3 linked regions of the Coturnix japonica genome follow. The protein of the gene in region 1 purifies or fractionates together with the protein of each later gene. This does not show direct contact. Links are inferred from orthologs where the notes say so. Each region holds a gene or a part of one and is shown on either strand. Other genes may lie near its edges.

Region 1 (5,911 bases):
AACTGCAACATTAGCGTGCTGTAATTTGTATAGAATCATAGAACTGTTTGAGTTGGAAAGGAGCTTTAAAGGCCAGCTAGTCAAGCTCCCCTGCAGTGAACAGGGATCCCTACAGCTACATCAGGCGCTCAGAGCCCTGTCCAGCCTGACCTTGAGTATCTTCACCACCTCTGCGCAACCGGTGCCAGTGCTTCACTACCCTTAGTATAAAAAACTTTTTCCTTATAACCAATCTGAATCTCCCCACTTTTAGTATGAAGCCATTTCCCCATGTCCTATCTCAGCAGCCCCTGCTGATGAGTCTGTCCCCTTTCTTATAGCTTCCCTTTAGGTACTGGTAGGACGTATAATATATATAGTATAATAACAGAATGTATAACATATATATATTTGGATAATTCAATAAATGTATATTTCACTCCAAAGAATGAAAGCCTTATCAGTGTAATTGCTGGTAATAATCACTGTTAACAATTACTCTTAATAATTACTGTTAGCTTTCCATCGGGGGTCAAACCTATATCGATCTTAGAACCTTCTAAATACCTAAATTCTTTATCTCCTATACTTTTTGACAGAGGTACTCAGGACCCCCCCAGAGTCAGCCCGTAAAGCCCTGTGCTGTAAATGAACTGTTGTCTTCCTTCCTGAGGTGATGGTGTTTTTCAAGAGAAAAAAAAAAAAGCAACAACCTGATGAAGTGATTAGTCACTGGCTGTATTTGCTTGTTTCAGAGGTAGCAGTAAACTCTGCAGTAAAATGACGGCGAACCATCTGGCTCTTTTCAGTTTGACAGTACGAGTTAGAAAGAGTGCTAGTGAAAAAAACCCAACAGTTATATTGGTTGTATTGCTTTCTGCGCTGCAGTTGTTTCTAGCAATAAGACGGAATGGAACGTATCTGTTTTGGTCATGCTCCTCTATGTTTTTTGGCAAGTCAAAAATGCACCCAACTGTAAATCTTAGGAGGAAGCAAACAGCTTTGTGAAAAGAGGTGAGTTTTTTTCCTTTCTTCTTGCAGTTTGCAAAAAAAGTTTACAGTGCTGAGTGAAACACCTTTATACTCTGCAAGTGGGTTTGTTTTTGTATTAAATATGCACAATGATTGTTTTTGCACGTTGCTTAAAATTGCTTACATTCTAAAATAGGTGTCCATACCCACAAACAAACGCAATGGGTAAATTTAAGATAACTGATAACAAGGTCTTCATTGCGTGTTGGGGATTATCAAAAGAATGCAGAACACAACAAGTTTCTAAACTTGTAAGACGTGCTGTTGTTTGTAGCTTTTCATTGTGCTGTAAATCTCACATCCTGCCAGTGTGTAGATGTGCATGCGCTTTCTGTGACTGGCGTAACTTAATACATATGAGAAGTTCCTGACTTTGAGTAACACATAACATCATCATTTTTAAAATGCATAAATATTGGTATAAAAAGAGATTTGCAGGGACCTGCTGTGGTTATTCTAACAAGTCATAATGTAAAGATAATACTTGCATAATGCAGCTGTGTCTCCTCGTCTATGTGGTAACACAAGCTTTGCTCACAAGAAGTCTGACAGAAACCAGTGTGACTGCATGAAAGGAGGTGCTATGTAATATAATATTGACATTTATCTCCAGTGGGAGGGAAAGGGGATCCCTTCAGGGTCTGGTCAGCAGTGTTGCCAATGCACTTGGAGCTCACAGTACCTGCAGACACTTCCTCGCCCAAAAACTGCATCCTCAGGAGCATTGCTAGTCATGTAGATTTTGTACTCATGGCACTGAGTAAAGGGAATACTTAGAAATTTGAGTCTGTGGATGTGCTAGAATGCACAACTTAACCTATCACTAACCCAGTAACTAAGACTGTATCATATAAAGGCTTCTGGCATGAAAAATCCAGGAATAAGGAACTTTTATCAAAGCATTTTCAAACCACCTTGCACTAAGTGTTCTAGGACATAAATGTGAAAAGGAAGACATCTACCATTTGTCAGTGGAAACAGCCAATACAAAATACATTTGATATAGTTAGAAAGAAATGTTAAAGCAGTCTCACCACAGGGTTTTCTGGTGTATGCAGCAATTCAACATCCTACAATAAAACAAATCTAAATTAGAAAAGTTTAGCATTTGAGCAATGCCCTCCAAAGATACACTCAATACATCATACTTGAAAATAATTTCAGAATTAGGACAAATGCTTTGCTTACCTTATCTTTCACTACATCTTTTAGTTGGTCAATTGTCTTTGCAAGCTGTTTGTATTTTGTTGCTTTTGGTGGAGCTGCAGTCAGCACCATACTGGAACAGAAGAAGAGCATACAGAAAACAATCATCCTCTCCATACTGATGAGTTTTGTTGTGTCAGGAGCAAAGTTGTGCTATCCAAGATGAACACTTCAGTTTGAGCAGTGCTCAGGTATGCCACGCACCTACCTATATATTGGTCTTTGATGCATATGTAAAACCCACCCATTTCAGTTTGGAAAGCTTTGAAGAATGGATTAATGAGTAACCCTTTTTTCTTTTCCATTGGCAAGGTGAGTTTGTGCGTAGGGGGCAGGGATTGATGGAGTGAATTAAAATATGCCCCATCTGCACATTGGACAGGAAAAAAAGAGAGAAGGGTGAATTCCCATTTTCGCTTTGAGTCAAAAAATGAACGTAGTAAAAAGTAGATGCTTAGAAACCACAGGCCCAGGTAAACAAAGATTCTGCTTTTTTTTCTTTTTTTTTTTTTTTTTCCCTGCTTCTTGCAGCAACAAATCTCTTCAATCCAATTGTAATTCATTCATATCATGCTGATGAAATATGACAGGACTTCTTTTCAGAAAGCTAATTTATCCTACTTTTCTTTATAACTCCAGAGGATATGTAGCTTGTCCAAGCTGATGTCTTTGAACCTTTACACTCATGCATGATTTCTGCAACTGCTGTGAGTAGGTCATTTTCACATTTAAGCCAGCTGAGGTCCACTTTTTACTTCAAACTAATTTTACATTTTTTATCATTGTGCTAATGAGCATGTCCATTGGGGACTGAAAGTGCATTTGCAGGGGTCTGAGCTCATGGAGATGCATTGCTACAGGAGAAGTGGATTCCCATCCCATGCCCATTGCCCAGATGGGCACGATACTGGAGGGCCAGGGACTAAGTTGCTCTCAGTCCCTCAGAATGTTATCACATTGAGGCTGTGACTGAGTGGATATGGCAGCTAAACATGTTCAGTTATGTTTTATTGCAGTTAGGCTGGATGTTAGCTTCGCTTCTCTATGCAACTCCTTCAATGGAAGTTCTCTGAGACCAGAGAATTCTCTTGAGAACGAAGAAATATCTTTATGCGGTGTGAAATAGATTAAAAATGCACTTAACAAAATTTAAACAGAGAATAAAAACAGCAGAATGATCTGAATTAAGAAATAAGTCAAATTCCCATGATTTCCTTCAAAATTGTTGCTTACTGCAATGAAGTGTGTATGCTACTTTTGAGGAAGCAGATTTGAGATTGTTACTTGAAAGACACGTAAGGTAGGAGCTTTTCCAACAGATGTCAGTAAGGAATGTTCTCTTATGGGGGATACCTCAGTTGCCTTCTTGCTAAATGAGTGCTGTGGTATTTGTAGACATTCCCAAATGTACTCATTTTGTGTGTTTGTTTGTTTACTTGTTTATTTACTATCAGTTTCCTCCAGCCCAAGCCACGTTTTCATTGCTCTCACTCACTTGCGCTGAGCACACAGAACAGCCCTGTGTGAGCAAAGGGGACTTCCGAGCTGCCACCTCTAGGAATCTTTTCAATTCCACTGCTCCTAATACTTCATTGCAAGGAGGTAAAATGTCTTTAAATGACTGTTATGTGCTGTCAGTAATAAATGGTTATCAACACTGTTGTATGACCATTAAAAAGTTGCTGTGTAGAATTGGTAGAGAGCAAATAAAATTGCGCTCCTTCACTGTGATAAATGAAAAGGTACCTAAGTGTCTTAAATCTCGGCCTCTTGAAGTTTGAAGATTTTAGACAGCTTTGAGGATGCTCTGCAAAGTAGGAGTTTGGACTTCAGTTTGATGTTGTCTTTGCTTGGAAGGCTAGTCTGTGTAATATGAGAATGCTTGTGTTTATCTGTCTGGTGTGTCAATCAGACAGTCAGATGGGATGATGGATTTCTGTCCATTTCAAAATCTCTCAGCATTTAAGCTGATGTGTTTGTTTTCTGTATACAAATTCCTTATCATTCAAGCTGATTCTTAAAGTCTGCTCCTCTTTAACCTGAATCTTCATCTTCTCTCCAGGCTATTGACTAGTAATTTAGACAAACATACGTTGTGTTCTCAATCCAGTTTTTGATAATACCGTTGGAAATGTTCATAGTTAAGGAGCAGACCGGTGATGTGTTTCTGCCTTTTTTGTTAGCATTTCAAAATTGAATTTTTTTTGAGAAGTTTCTTTGATCTCAGCTTCTATGGGTGAACATGGTAGCTCTGCTGGCTTTTATTTTAGGCAGCTTTATTTGGTTGATAGGTTAGAAGGTTTCCATTTGGATGTGAGGATGACTCTGTTAGCTTATTAGATGGCTGGCAGTTACTAATGCAAAAATGCCACTGCATTGACCAGACAACTTCAGGACCACTCAAGAACTTCAGTTAGTGCTGCCGGTGTATTTTCAGGAACTCGGGGCTTGAACGGGCAACACAGAGGCATCAGCTCCTACCCCCTGCCATGACAATATGTCACAATTACTTAACAGTTGTGTTTACCTCCATAGTTGGTTCTTAAAGTCTCTGTGCTTAGCAATCAGAGACATTCTTACTTCCAGCCTGGATGCATTGATTGTTAGCTTAGTCTCTTCTGTTCTTACACTGATGCTGTCATTCACCTTAGATCGTTTTCTCCTCTGACCGATGTTTCCTCATTTGCTCTGCATAGAGAGAGCAGTCCAACCCCCTCTGACGCCAGACTAAGCAAACTGATGCCTTGAAGTGTACCTGTCCTCTAATCGTCCCACCCATTCTGCTCTGCACACCTCCATTTGATTGGCAGGCATCTCTATTGGAATGGTAGATAATATTCTGGATGAGGACCCAACATCTCATTGTACAGTATCTATAATTTTTTATTGAACCATCTGGAAGTGCTTGACATATTACTGACTGAAATTGCGTTTTTGTTGGTCCTTGATAATTTGTTGGACAGGAGTAATGCACGGCTGCATTCTGGATATTACTGTGTCTCTGGGAGTCATTTCCAGATTCCTGGGATTGTATTCTCGCACTTGACCACGTCCCACAGCTGTATAGAAGAACCATACCTGTGTAGCTAACAACCATTTCAATTGTCATCTTTTGTTGTTTTTTCTTTTCCTAAAGTTGTGATAATTAAGGCTCTAATGCAGTGATCAGAGGTTAAATTACTGCCGTTTCTAGAGATAGTCTGAAAAACAGTGAGATAATTGTGCATGGATGGTCCTGAGATAAGTCACTTTAGGAAAGGAAATAATTACAATGGCAGACAAAGGCAGCTTTAAATTCCCTGAACCAAGCTTAAGCATGGTGAGAACTGTTCTAAAATTCTCTCCTTGTTCAAAGGAGGTTGTGTCAATGCAAGCTTCATATTTTAAACAAAGAAGCTGTTTTGTTAGACTCTGATTCTCCCTTCACTTTTAGGAATATTTAATGACATTGCAAAGTAAGGGAGAACCCTGCTCATAGCTGGCAGGCTGTGCATGCTGCATGTAGTCCAAAAAACCCTTTTTATATGAATGCACTGTGAAAGGCAGTTTATAGTATCAGAGGAGACATTAATGGGAATGGTAGGAAGTGCTTAAAATCCCTGTGTGTTTTACAGTGAAACTTTCTGTGTGAAAGAATGCCTGTACAACAGCACAGGAGAGCACTCGGGCAGCAGGCATTTAATGAAGCACTGTC
Region 2 (5,932 bases), on another chromosome or scaffold:
AATTAACATTTGAGTCCACGCAGACAATCACAAGCAGAGAACAGAATGTTTTTAAAGTGTAAGATTTAGTTCAAGATAAAGAGTAACTTTATAATTCTCATTAGACAAGAGTTTGAAAACAACTGACACATACAAATAGTTGCTAGAATTTCATACTTCTCACAGAACAATCAGTGATCATTTGCGCATTATAGCATTGCAGTCAGCCAGTACAAGACCAGTCCTCTTATGGAATTGTCTTCAGTATGGAAAGCAGCAGTTTCTAGTCTGAAACGCTTGCTCTGCTGCTACAGTAGAATAAAGAAGAAATAGGAGACCCCTGTCCCACAATCATATCTAGAAAGGTTTTCATTGTGAGACTAGCAGTAAGTGTAACTATGAAGTATACAAAAATCACTCATTACCTGTCACTTGACTCAGGGGTTCCATCACTGACAGCCCAGCTCTGTCCACAGCAATGACGTGGTTATCTTTCAGATACTGTTTCAGCGACGGATGGATGACTTTCTGGCACACTACAAGGCCAACTTCATCATTAACCAACTGCTTTCCTACATTAAGCAACTGCTCAAGCTCTGACATTTCTAAGGAAATTCTGTGGTGGACTGTTACTGTTCCTTCTTCTGGGTCAAAAAGGTCTCCTGACATGGACACACAGAAAACTGCTACCTTGACAGCGTCAGAAGAAGTTCTTTTGACAGAAAACGGTTTTGCAAATTGAATTTCTGGTGTTTCTATCAGCAGACCAGGAACAACTGTAGAATCCAGAACTCTTCTACCCTTCACAGACACTGTTACACATTTTCCTAAAATAGGCTTAGTTTCAGGATGGCATGGAACAGTAAACATAAAAGCCTTTACAATCAGTACAGTGAGATGATCAACCTCTGTTTTATTAAGCATGCAAGCAGGTTTGCTTGTTAATATGCTACGCACCAAGCAAAGAAGAGTCTCAAGATTACCAAAATCCACAGATACTCGGCAACCACAGGCCTCAGACTTGAGGTAGTCAGTACATAAACTCAAAAGATGTTTGCTTATTTTTATGACAGTGCAAGGTGCAATATTTAGGTTTCTAAAGTTTTCAATCAAGCTACAGCAAAGAATGGCAGTAAATAAGCCACAGTCACTGAAGCGGGACACATGGTTCTGGACAGAGGCTGTCAAAACCTTTAATACAGGGTGACTGACAGAAAGACGACCAAGTATGGCAGAAGATTGTGATGTTAGACAAACATAACCTCCCAGACCATTGTGGAGCTGTTTAAGTCTGCCAGCAGGCCCATAGCAAGATTTTAATATTGCAGTTAATAGAGACAGTGGCTGACTAACTGTAGTTAGAGGTTCACTAATAAATAATGATGGCTTTTTAGCTTCAAGGCGAGACATTTTCAAAATTAGATTTTAATTCTGATAAAGAGAGATTTCATTCTTACTTGGACCTAGAATTCACAGCACTTTAAAGTAGTACATTTTTATTCTTTTCTGACAAAGATTACTATTTTAAACGTAGCACAGTATGCTAAGCACATCTGATTCTGCACACAGACACCTAAAAATGAGGCTTAAATCCCACTGTGAAATTGATAATGACAGCTGTAAGCTCATTCATTCATGCTTTCATACTTTCATTATTTCTTAATTTCTGAGTGTGATCGAGCAGATTTTTTTGCAACAAAGTTCACAAGCATCGTTCCAAAATGGACACCTATCAGCGACAGTCCTGCCACAAGCAGAAAGTTCTTTTTACTCCAGCTAGGTTTCCTCATCTTCCCTTCTGGCAACACTCACAGGAGATGTTTCAGAGCTAATTACACCTACAATAAAAACCAGAAAGGTATTAGTATGATCTCTCACACCAGTATCACACAGCTTTAACTGCTTGGTTTTTTCCCCAGAAAAAACTAACTTAAGGACAAAAACTACAGTATGATATTTTAATTGAAAAAAAAACAAACAAAAAAACAACATGTTACATAGAGGTATGCAGTACATAAACTACACATTTGCATTACTACTTTTACTTCTGACCTCTAGGCTTTACACTACTTTACGAATAGGTCATGCATGGTACTACAAAACACACCAAATGGTATGAAAGCATCAGATTACAATGATGTTAAGCTGTTTTTAAACAAAGAACAAAAGAAGTGAGACACTTCAGAAACAACAATCTTAACACACTTAAACAACTTCTGATCTCTGCCTCAGAAAGAAGGACTTCTTACTTCAACTTACCCAGCATACACTTATTCTTAGCTCTTAAACATTTCAAAATGTAGATGCATTACTTACATCTATCTACATGTAATGTCTACAGTAGACTTCACTCATTAGAGACTGTTAGACTCGATCATTATTTTGTCCTCTAACCACTATTAGTGACACACAATGTGTTACACTATGTGAAGCCATAATTCTGACCAATTTTAAACCTAGAAAGGACATTATTACATACCAAATCAGACACAGGAGTTTGACTGTCGCCTTGAAAACTATTGGGGTTTGTTTCAGAGTAACTTTTAAAACCTGCAATGCACCACTTAATTAATCCTGCTAAAGAGCACTGATAAGCAGTTTGAGAATTGACATGCATCTAAAAAAAAGTTATGTAACTACCAGGTTAACTCACCCACAAATGAATTAAACTCAGTAAGACAAACAGCAAAACACCAATACTGCCTTTGCTAGAGAACTGATTTAATGACCCATCTCCTGCCTCAAAATATGCAGAGGCAACTGATTATGAATCTTACCTAAAACAAACAGCCCTGATGTTATTTTTCCTTATTTTTGCGATCCCTTTGCATTACGTATGTCACAATCCCAGGTTCTGGAACAACCTCCTCTGTCTTCACTTGGAAAAGAGGACTGGACTTGATGTGGAACCACGACCAGTGCACCAGGCCAAGGCTAATTCCCATCACAATCAGAACTTTGTAGTCCTTCCATAAGGTTTTGAGGCTCATCATAAACTGGCATTTATGTACCTAGAGAAAAATAATTTAAATATATTTCAGAAATAATTTCTCCTCTCTTATAACTCAACTCAGAACTCAAGCTTGAATGTAAATATCGTTAATTACAATGCAGCAAATCATTACAACCGCAAGACACAGGATAAGCCTTACTTCACAAACTCCAGGAATAGAAAGGTTTTAAAAGGAACCTCAATTCAGACATCTTGATATGTTAATCACTACGTTGCTTCAAGTTTTGGCACACTACACGTTAAAGCTTCGCGACGTTTCCCTAATTACACATTACCACCTCAGACAGCGCATAATTTAAAGCTAAATCAACAACATAAAGCAGCTTCAAATATAGTTTCTCTTGCACAGTTAACAAAAATAACTAGTGGGGCTCCTCAGAGCGCACCAGCTTTTAGCTCACGGGCTGAGCAAGCTGCATTCGGGCAGCAGAACACCTCAGGCTGCCTGCATTACCTCTGTGCCCTTCAACCTCAGAAACAAGGGTATGACGAAATAAACTCAGCCACTCTTATAGGGAACACGAAGAACTGCTCACACGTAGTTTCATGGAGCAGTACGTATCAATATGTGCATAGGAAGCGAAAATTACAAGCAGCTTGATTTTATATCAAGATATCTTCGCTTCCAGAGCTACAAAGGCGCAGCTCAGACAACAAGCGCCCCCGGCCGCTTCAGTTTCTCACTGCCGAGGAAAAACCCGGGGTTGTAGGCCGGCCCCATAACAGCAGACACTGAGGGAAGGCCCCCACCGTACCTCACGCGGTAACACGTCCCTCCTCGTAACCTCGAGACACAAATGGCCGACGGGACAACGGCCGACACTGAAGCGGATGGAACGAGCCGCAGAACCGTGTGCCCGCACCACGACACGAGCCGGGGGCGGTGTGAGGACACCGCACGTTCCAACCCCCCACAGCCGGAAGAGACACTGCGGGGACCGAATGTGCCCCTCCCATCCCGGCCATTTTAGTTTAGGGTAAAAAGCTGGGCGGGACGCGGCTACAAACGGCGGCCATTTTGGATAGGGGAGAGGAAGCTCTCGCTTGGCAGCCATGGGCTCCGCCCATTGGAGCTTCCCGGCAACTTTAAAACAGCCGCTTCGTCTTCTGTGCCTGCTGTGTGCGTTACTCCTGTGCTCCTCTGCCCAGCCTTCCTGCAGGTAGATGCTGTTAGCTGAACGAAACGAGCTCGAGACATTCTCAGTGCCTCAGCTCCCTATCAGCATTTCCTTCTGCTTATCTTACTCTGTACTTCTGTATTCACTCTTTCGATCGCCGTCGGTAACATTATCTGTCATATTTGCCCGTGGTTTCAAGTCAGTGGAGGATTGCAGAGTTGGTAACTGTAGCCAAAAGGCAGGTTTCTTAGAAGTTAACATAGGCTTTAGTGTCAGCTCTGAAAGGAGCACAGTAGTTCTGAAAGAAATGCATGGAACAGATGGGATTCACTCAGCAAGGCCAAAAGATCACAGCCAGCACATCTGACTGGGCACTCTGGTGTTCCTCTCATTTCTTTCAAATAGCAACAGAGAGGAAACATGCCGTTGTTGTGCTCTAAAGGTGAACTGGCACAGTGTTTGCAGTCCAACATCTAAGCTCTGGAGACTTCAGAAAAAAAGCCTTTTATGTTATTATAATTAATTGTGACTCTTTTATAAGCGAAACTAACAGTGGCATATCCTAGGAAGGTATCCAATTATTGTTTTGGTTTTGCCTTTTTCAGGTGCCCGCCTCTTCTCACACACGATAACAGCCCCCAAAGATAAGCAAAGCATGAACAACTTGTAGCGTTAGAAGTTGCTGTACATGGGCACGTGTGGCAGGAGTTCTCAGTTCCTTACCTCTACTGAATTCCAAATTTCAACAGTGCCAAAAGCCACTTCTTCACTAAGGTAAGATGCTGTAGATCATCTGACTGACTTGTATAATACTATCATAGGAATAGCAAGTACTTTAATAACAGCAGGGTAGCAAAGCCATCAGCTACAGGAAATGAGAACAAGCCCAAACGCAGTAGCAGTAAAAATAAAGAAAAAGAGCTGCTTACCTTTGGGAGGCCTCTGGTAGGGAGGGATCTCCAGCAAGAGATGCCTTTACCTCCATTGCCAGCCCTTAAATGAGGTCTGGGAAGGGGTGGATCCACCTGTTTCAGTCAGGAGCATGGCATACTTCTGAACTCGCCTGGGTTGGCCCTGCTGCCAGGTGCTCAATCACTGTTTCAGGTCATGGCCTAACATTTCTGCTAAAACTTGCTTTCCGGGAAGCCTCATTTCCTCAATTTACTGAGCATCTGCCATTTCAATTGACCATAAGTTTTAGAGAATAAACTATTCTATCATGTCATTTTTAGAACATACCTCTTGCTTCTTCCGAGGAGGTTGTGTTTAGTTCTTGGAGCTTGTTTTGATGTTTGTTCATTGTGTTGTGTTTTTTTTTTTGTTTGTTTTTTGTTGGTGTAGGATGTCCATCAACAATTTAGGTGTTTGAAATGCTACTGGCAACATATCAAGGCCTTCTTTGTTTTAGAGAGTAAAACTTCTAGCTAAGTTTTTCTATTTGGTGTAGTTGTCTTTGCATTTTCTTATGGGTGATTTTATTTAATGGCTTGTGTTATTCTGTGATGGATGCACTGTTCCATGAGTCAGATTTCATTACCAAACAGTGGCAATTGTAACAGATCTCCATACTTTGGTCACAAACACACTAAATATCAAAGTATTTTGGGGATGGCTGGTGTCTTTTATTGAAGCATTATTTTGGGGATTTTTTTGCCCTCATTTCTTGGTGTATCAGTATTACAGTGTTTCATTTTGTGATGATTATTTTTTTTTTAAATCATTTCTTTCTTTCTCTTGTTGTTGTGTAGATTAGATTTAGGGAAGAATTCTTGTTACTAAGGATTATAGTTACATTAGTAACAGAACAGCAGAACCTTACTAT
Region 3 (5,976 bases), about 210 kb from region 1:
TGCTTTGTTGTAGTGATGAATCCCTGTGTGCCACCAAAAAAGCCCATATGAGACAACTGCTTGATCTGGGGCTGCTTTTTCACTTGCTTATATCTTTTCCATTCTTGTAAGAAAAAGTGAATAAAGTTCTACTACACGTGCTAACCGTGTCTCTGTTTTAATCTGACAGCAAATAATGAAAAGACTGATAAAACGGTACGTTCTGAAAGCACAAGTGGACAAAGAAAATGATGAAGTAAATGAAGGTAAGAGGCTTCTTCACATTTCAGAGGGAATGTTTGTCACATTTATTAGAGTCTGGCATTACAGTGGTGCATGGAGCCTCCAGTTAAAATGAGTTTATTTCTACTTCATGTGCACTGAAGTCATATAGCAATGGAAGTACGTGCAACAAAAATGGACAAGTAGGACCGATAACGTGGAACTGAGAAAGTTTATGGGCCCCATTTACAGATGTAAAGTTGGGGTGCAGACATGGTGCACACACAGTCACAGAGGAAGTCTGTGAGGAAACCACTATTGATGCTTCCAGCGTCCCAGTCAGCCGAATTTGAGTATCTCTTGGCCAGATATCTTATACTGGAAACCCTGACATATCTTGTTACAAGCCCAACCTTGACTATTGTTTCCATTTGTTGTTGTCCTTGTGTCAAGTTGTAACAGTTTTAAATTGGCTGACTTTTTCTGATTCAAAGGATGTTGGTAAGGAAGAGGAGAGAGACTCAGAAGCTGTGAGTTTTGTTGCCAGCTCTGCCACACTTTCCCTGTGTGATCTCGGCATATCACTTCAGAAACAAATCTCTTTTGCCTTTTCTCTCTCCAAGGGGGTACTAACATTTACCAGCTGTTTAGCAGTGTTGCCGTGATTAATTCATTAACCTATGTGGAGGGCTTTGATGTTCTGTGTATGTGTGAAGCACAACACTGGAGTTGGTTGGATCTCAGAGAGGATGAGGAAGAGGGAAAGCCTTCTGCCCCCCTTACTTAGCTCTCATGGATGTTCTGGATGAGCAGGGGATCATCTGAAATAGGCACTAATGCGACTTATCATTTAATGAACGTTTAGCAGACTTTGCTAATAAGTATTTCTTTCCATGGTTAATACAGGTGAATTAAAGGAAATCAAACAAGATATCTCCAGTCTTCGCTATGAACTTTTGGAGGACAAGTCCCAAGCGACAGAAGAGTTAGCGATTTTAATACATAAACTCAGCGAGAAACTCAATCCCAATATGTTGAGATGTGAATGATGCGACAAAGGAACCGTGGCTTCGACTACAGCACAACTATTTATTGGCAATAATATTTCAGTATCTCATACTTGAAAACAAAAAAAAAAAAGTATTGTAGATTTTTAGCACTAAATAACTTTATGTACAGCTGCTCTGGAATTTAGTCATAGGAAATTTTATTAACTCGTCACCAAAACGTTGTTGTCTTCATCTTAATCATCTGAAAGTTAACAACTATCAAACTGTTGTGGTTTTTTTTTTTTTGCATTGATGCATTAAGAAGGTATAGAGATGAGAATTACTGATATTTTAGCAGGTTTATGGATACATGCTGAGAATCCTTTGCACTGAATTTGCAAGAAAAACAAATGAATAGATGTAAGGTAGTGTCGTGCTCCTGGCAGCAGCGAGGTGGGAACAGGGTGTTTGAGCGTGTGGTGGATCAGGTAGAGTGGGGTAGGGTTGCGCTGCTGATGGCAGTATGAGCTGAGGAGCAGGTGAGGGTGAGCACACAGCTGCTGTGCCATAATGCAGTGTGTTATTTCCACTGGTGAGGTGTGGTGGAGGTTGGCTGTTATTTTTTGTAACGACATTTGAAGGGACCGTGATCTCAGTCCAAAGCTCCTCTTCATGCGGTAGAAATGATTTTTTTTTAATTCAGACTCTGCGCAGGGCCGGTATTTTGTGACCCGATGCCTCGGATGCTTCATTGTTAAATAAAATATTGCGATACTTTACTGATACTCGGCCTGCTCCTGCTCGGCCCGTGTGGGGGCGGTCCCGCGGCCGTTGCTCACGGCACTAAGCGCAGCGCCGCCCAGTCGCCGGCCACGATTGTGCGGCTGGGAGCGCTGCCGTACGCGGGCGACGGTTGCCGCGGTGACGGGTAACGGCAGCTCGGGGCCGGGCCCGGCGGAGCCATGGAGCTGAGCCTGAGCCGCGTGGACTACATGCAGGTAACCGGCAGCGCCGCTCCCGGGGCCGAAGGGCCGGGCGAGGTGAGTGAGGGCCGCGCTTCCTTCTGCAGGTGGGCGTCACGGCGCAGAAGACCATGAGGCTGCTCCCCGCGTCGGGTCGTAGGGCCACACAGAAGGTACGGGCCGGCCCGGCTCCTCTGGCGGAACGTGACGTACCGAAGTACGGAACTGCGGTTAGCGGAGCGAAGGGGTGTGTAAAAACCCTTCGTGTGCGCTGACGTAACGCTGTGCTCTGCTTTTGAAGGTGGTGGTGGGTGATCAGGACGGAGTGATTACCTGTTTCGGCATAAAAAAGGGGGAACCTGTGGTAAGTGTCAACGTGCTGTTTAAAGGGGGTCTGGAGCACAGGCCTTATGAGGAGAGGCTGAGGGGGCTGGGATTGTTCAGCCTGGAGAAGAGGAGGCTCAGGGGAGACCTTATTGCTCTATAACTTCCTGAGGGGAGGTTGTAGTGAGCTGGGGGTTGGCCTCTTCTCTCGTGTAATCAGTGATAGAACTAGAGGGAATGGTTTTAAGCTGCGCCAGGGGAGATTCAGGCTGGACATTAGGAAGTATTACTTCTCGGAAAGGGTAGTCAGGCATTGGAATGCACTGCCCAGGGAGGTGGTGGAGTCACCGACCATGGGAGTGTTCAAGAAACGTTTGGATGTGGTGCTGATGAATATGATTTAGCTGGGAAGTATTGGTAATGGTTGGACTAGATGATCTAGGTCTTTTCCAACCTTGATAATTCTGTGATTCTGTAAAAACGGGCTTTGTAAAGCTTTCTCCCTAACAAATCCAGAAGGCATGCGGTTAGCGTTGCTTTTTGTCCCCACGTACTTGGTAGTATCCTTAGTTTTGCCAGTGGCTGTAAAGCAAGTTTAGCATCCTTTGCGTGAAAAGTTGACTGTAATCACAGAATATGATTGCGATTGCGTTTCTTCTTTACAGACAGTGTTCAAAACGCTGCCCGGCCCCAAAATTGCCCGCCTGGAGCTGGGGGGAGCTCTTAATACACCTCAAGAGAAAGTTTTTGTGGCAACAGGATCAGATGTCCGAGGTTTCACCAAAAGAGGGAAGCAGTTCCTCTCCTTTGAAACTAACCTCACCGAGGACATCAAAGCTATGTGTGTACAGTGCCTGCCGCTTCTTGTCTCCATGAAGTTATTCTCAATCTATACTTGTATGGGGTTTTTTTAACCTTATTGTGTGCATGTAGGCAGCACTCGGTGCTGCTCTGGCTTTAGCTTGTGCCTTGGCATGTAGGAAGGAATCTGGAAAGTGACGGTGCAATTGGAAGAGTGTGGGGGGGCTTGGAAGGGGCTTGGGGGCCTTTCCAGCAGTGTGTGTGTGTGCAGGTGAGTGTAGCTGGGGTTATTGGCTTTTTAGCAGCATATTCTTTCCATCTGCCCTGCATGTAGGAGGTCAGGAATAAGATTCTTCTCTTGTTTTTTTGTATGTTCTTGGTTTAAGGTGCTTGTCTTGTAAAAGGTGATGTGTGGAACCTGCAAGCAATAACACATTCATATACTAACCTAACAAAGACATGACTGCAAATATTCTGGCAACATGCTACAGTGTTTTCTTTTTCTCAGGCACATTTCAGGAGCAGATCTGTTTCTTTGCGCAAGCTATATCTATAACCACTACTGCGACTGCAAAGACAAGCACTACTACCTGTCAAGAGATAAAATCAACGACGTTCTCTGCCTTCCTGTAGATAAAGTGAATTGCATTACCCCAGTACTTGCGTGTCAGGATAGAGTCCTCAGAGTTTTACAGGTTAAAATATTTGCTTGTTTTATGTGTTGACGCCATAGCATTGGATTGATTCTTATCGAATAAGCATAAGCATAACCTTATTTGTAAGTGTTGCTGTCTACAGTGCTGGTACTTGTAAAATTAGGATTGATTGATTGATACTACAAATAGTCTCTGGAATTCATGGATAGAAGAAGTAAAGAAATTGTTATAAGTGTTTACACAAAGGAATTAAATGCGTGAGTTGTTGTAAGTTTGAAAACTCACAAATTATTGCTGTAGCAAGTCTGAGTGATATCAAATGGTTTAGCAGAATTGTTTCTTAATGCCACATGTCCTCGGATTATTATGTCATAGTTATTTTAAGTGGTAACACATTTCAAGATGTGCTTTTCTTATAGCCATGTTTTAGTTATATGAAGTTTTCTCTGTTTTGGCTTAAAGGTGATTTTATGCAAGAAAATCTGTGTAAATGAAACATGTCCATATTAAAAAAACAATTTTGTCTTTATTCTTGATTTCTCCTTTTGAATAAGAACTCATTCAAGGTAGTTCTCTTTGTCCCCAGGGATCTGATCTACTGTATGAAGTAGAGGTTCCTGGACCACCTACTGTTCTTGCTCTACACAATGGAGATGGAGGTAACAAATAATGGACTTCTGCTGTTTTTGAGATTGTAACGTTTATATTTGTTAATTACATTTCTTCTTGATTTGAAGCTGATTTGAAAAGGTAGTCAAAAACTATGTGAAACCATATCTTACTGCCCATTCTGTTTATAGAATGTAGTTGTAGAGCATCTGTATGTGTTATGGTGAGAATGGAATTTAGTTGTCCCATATACTGAACTGATGAACAACTCTTTGGTGAGAAGGGGGAGTACTTGAAGATACTTGCTTAAATTATTCCTATCTGGAACACTGGAGGAAAAACATACTTTTAGCAGTATTAAGGGCTTTTGCTGCTGGTTTTCTGATAGAAAAGGTTTATAGGTGGGAAAACTGGAGATCAAAAGCCTGTTGGTAGTAACAGAAATCACAAATATGAAATTTCTGTTTTCATGCAGAAAATCTGTTACTGAGACATAGTTGCAGCATGAAGTAAGAGTGAAAGGCTGGTAGGATTTCAGGTGAAAGCTGGGGAGAAGGAACCATGGGAGTTTAGGTTGGGATGCTGGTAAGATTGCTGTGGAGATTTCAGAGTAGGGATTATTAGCTTCGTTTTTAAACTCCTTTGGATTTTTGTTTGTCTGCATATTGAGGTGTTATTTGTAAACATACAATACATACACGTATAATAGATAATAGTCTCGTGCGGGTTGAAAGGGACCTTAGAGATCATTGAGTCTAACACCTGGGATTTGAGCCTCTGTGTAGCAGAGCAGCACTTCTACCACTTGTGCCACAGGGGGGATTCGAACCCGGGCCCCGGTGTTGCAACGTGGCACTTCTACCACTGCGCCACCAGGGCACACATATGTGCTTGACTGTTTTAGTTCTAAACAATATTTACGTTGCATGAAAGCCTCTTACAGTGGTGGTGAGTTGTAAGGTGATCTTGTTGTGTAAATGGGAGCTGGACTGTTGGGGGTGTCTCGTTCAGGCACTGGGTTGGGTTTCTCTTACATCTGGATTTCTGTAAGTAGAATCACTGCTTCCTTCCATCCATAGATTGATGAGAATTGTGTAGAGCTCACATAAACTAAGGCTGTGAAAGGATCAATCTTAAAATAGTTTGATCTTCCTTTTCGCTAATCTCTTCTACCCTGATACAAATCCCTTTAGTGTGTTAATCTGGTGCTTAATTTAGTTTCTGTTAGATTATTTGTCAGTGTTCAGGTCTAGATTCAAGAAACAGTTCTTACTTGCTTTAGGTGCAGTACAACACTCACAATTAGATGTGTGTTCTGAATAAATAATATAAATGGTTTCTTCTGTAAAGCACATTAAATAGCCCATATTTCCTAAATTCAGGAAAAGTTTGTAAGCAGAACTCCAGAGCGAGGAAGCATTTGTTTTAAAGTGT

Evidence for each region.
Region 2: the proteins of BBS12 (region 1) and MKKS purify together in Homo sapiens (co-immunoprecipitation; 4 studies listed by BioGRID and IntAct, counting the BioPlex papers as one, with this or other methods). This does not show direct contact. The link is inferred for Coturnix japonica from reciprocal best matches to the Homo sapiens genes BBS12 and MKKS.
Region 3: the proteins of BBS12 (region 1) and BBS7 purify together in Homo sapiens (co-immunoprecipitation; 3 studies listed by BioGRID and IntAct, counting the BioPlex papers as one, with this or other methods). This does not show direct contact. The link is inferred for Coturnix japonica from reciprocal best matches to the Homo sapiens genes BBS12 and BBS7.

The regions. Positions count from the first base shown.
Region 1 is NC_029519.1:48,045,081-48,050,991, reverse strand, and holds the start of BBS12 (Bardet-Biedl syndrome 12 protein), read left to right. Parts: upstream 1-2,334; 5' UTR 2,335-2,408; intron 2,409-3,671; 5' UTR 3,672-3,819; intron 3,820-4,913; 5' UTR 4,914-5,081; intron 5,082-5,911. Other genes in the region: IL21 (interleukin-21), read right to left, coding at 2,046-2,081, 2,200-2,334. UniProt on the Homo sapiens protein: Component of the chaperonin-containing T-complex (TRiC), a molecular chaperone complex that assists the folding of proteins upon ATP hydrolysis.
Region 2 is NC_029518.1:11,794,214-11,800,145, reverse strand, and holds the start of MKKS (McKusick-Kaufman/Bardet-Biedl syndromes putative chaperonin), read right to left. Parts: upstream 3,929-5,932; 5' UTR 3,748-3,928; intron 2,991-3,747; 5' UTR 2,757-2,990; intron 2,530-2,756; 5' UTR 2,459-2,529; intron 1,818-2,458; 5' UTR 1,390-1,817; coding exon 405-1,389; intron 1-404. UniProt on the Homo sapiens protein: Probable molecular chaperone that assists the folding of proteins upon ATP hydrolysis. Plays a role in the assembly of BBSome, a complex involved in ciliogenesis regulating transports vesicles to the cilia.
Region 3 is NC_029519.1:48,255,919-48,261,894, forward strand, and holds the start of BBS7 (Bardet-Biedl syndrome 7 protein), read left to right. Parts: upstream 1-2,048; 5' UTR 2,049-2,152; coding exon 2,153-2,188; intron 2,189-2,259; coding exon 2,260-2,325; intron 2,326-2,453; coding exon 2,454-2,516; intron 2,517-3,141; coding exon 3,142-3,317; intron 3,318-3,785; coding exon 3,786-3,972; intron 3,973-4,519; coding exon 4,520-4,592; intron 4,593-5,976. Other genes in the region: TRPC3 (short transient receptor potential channel 3), read left to right, coding at 170-245, 1,108-1,250.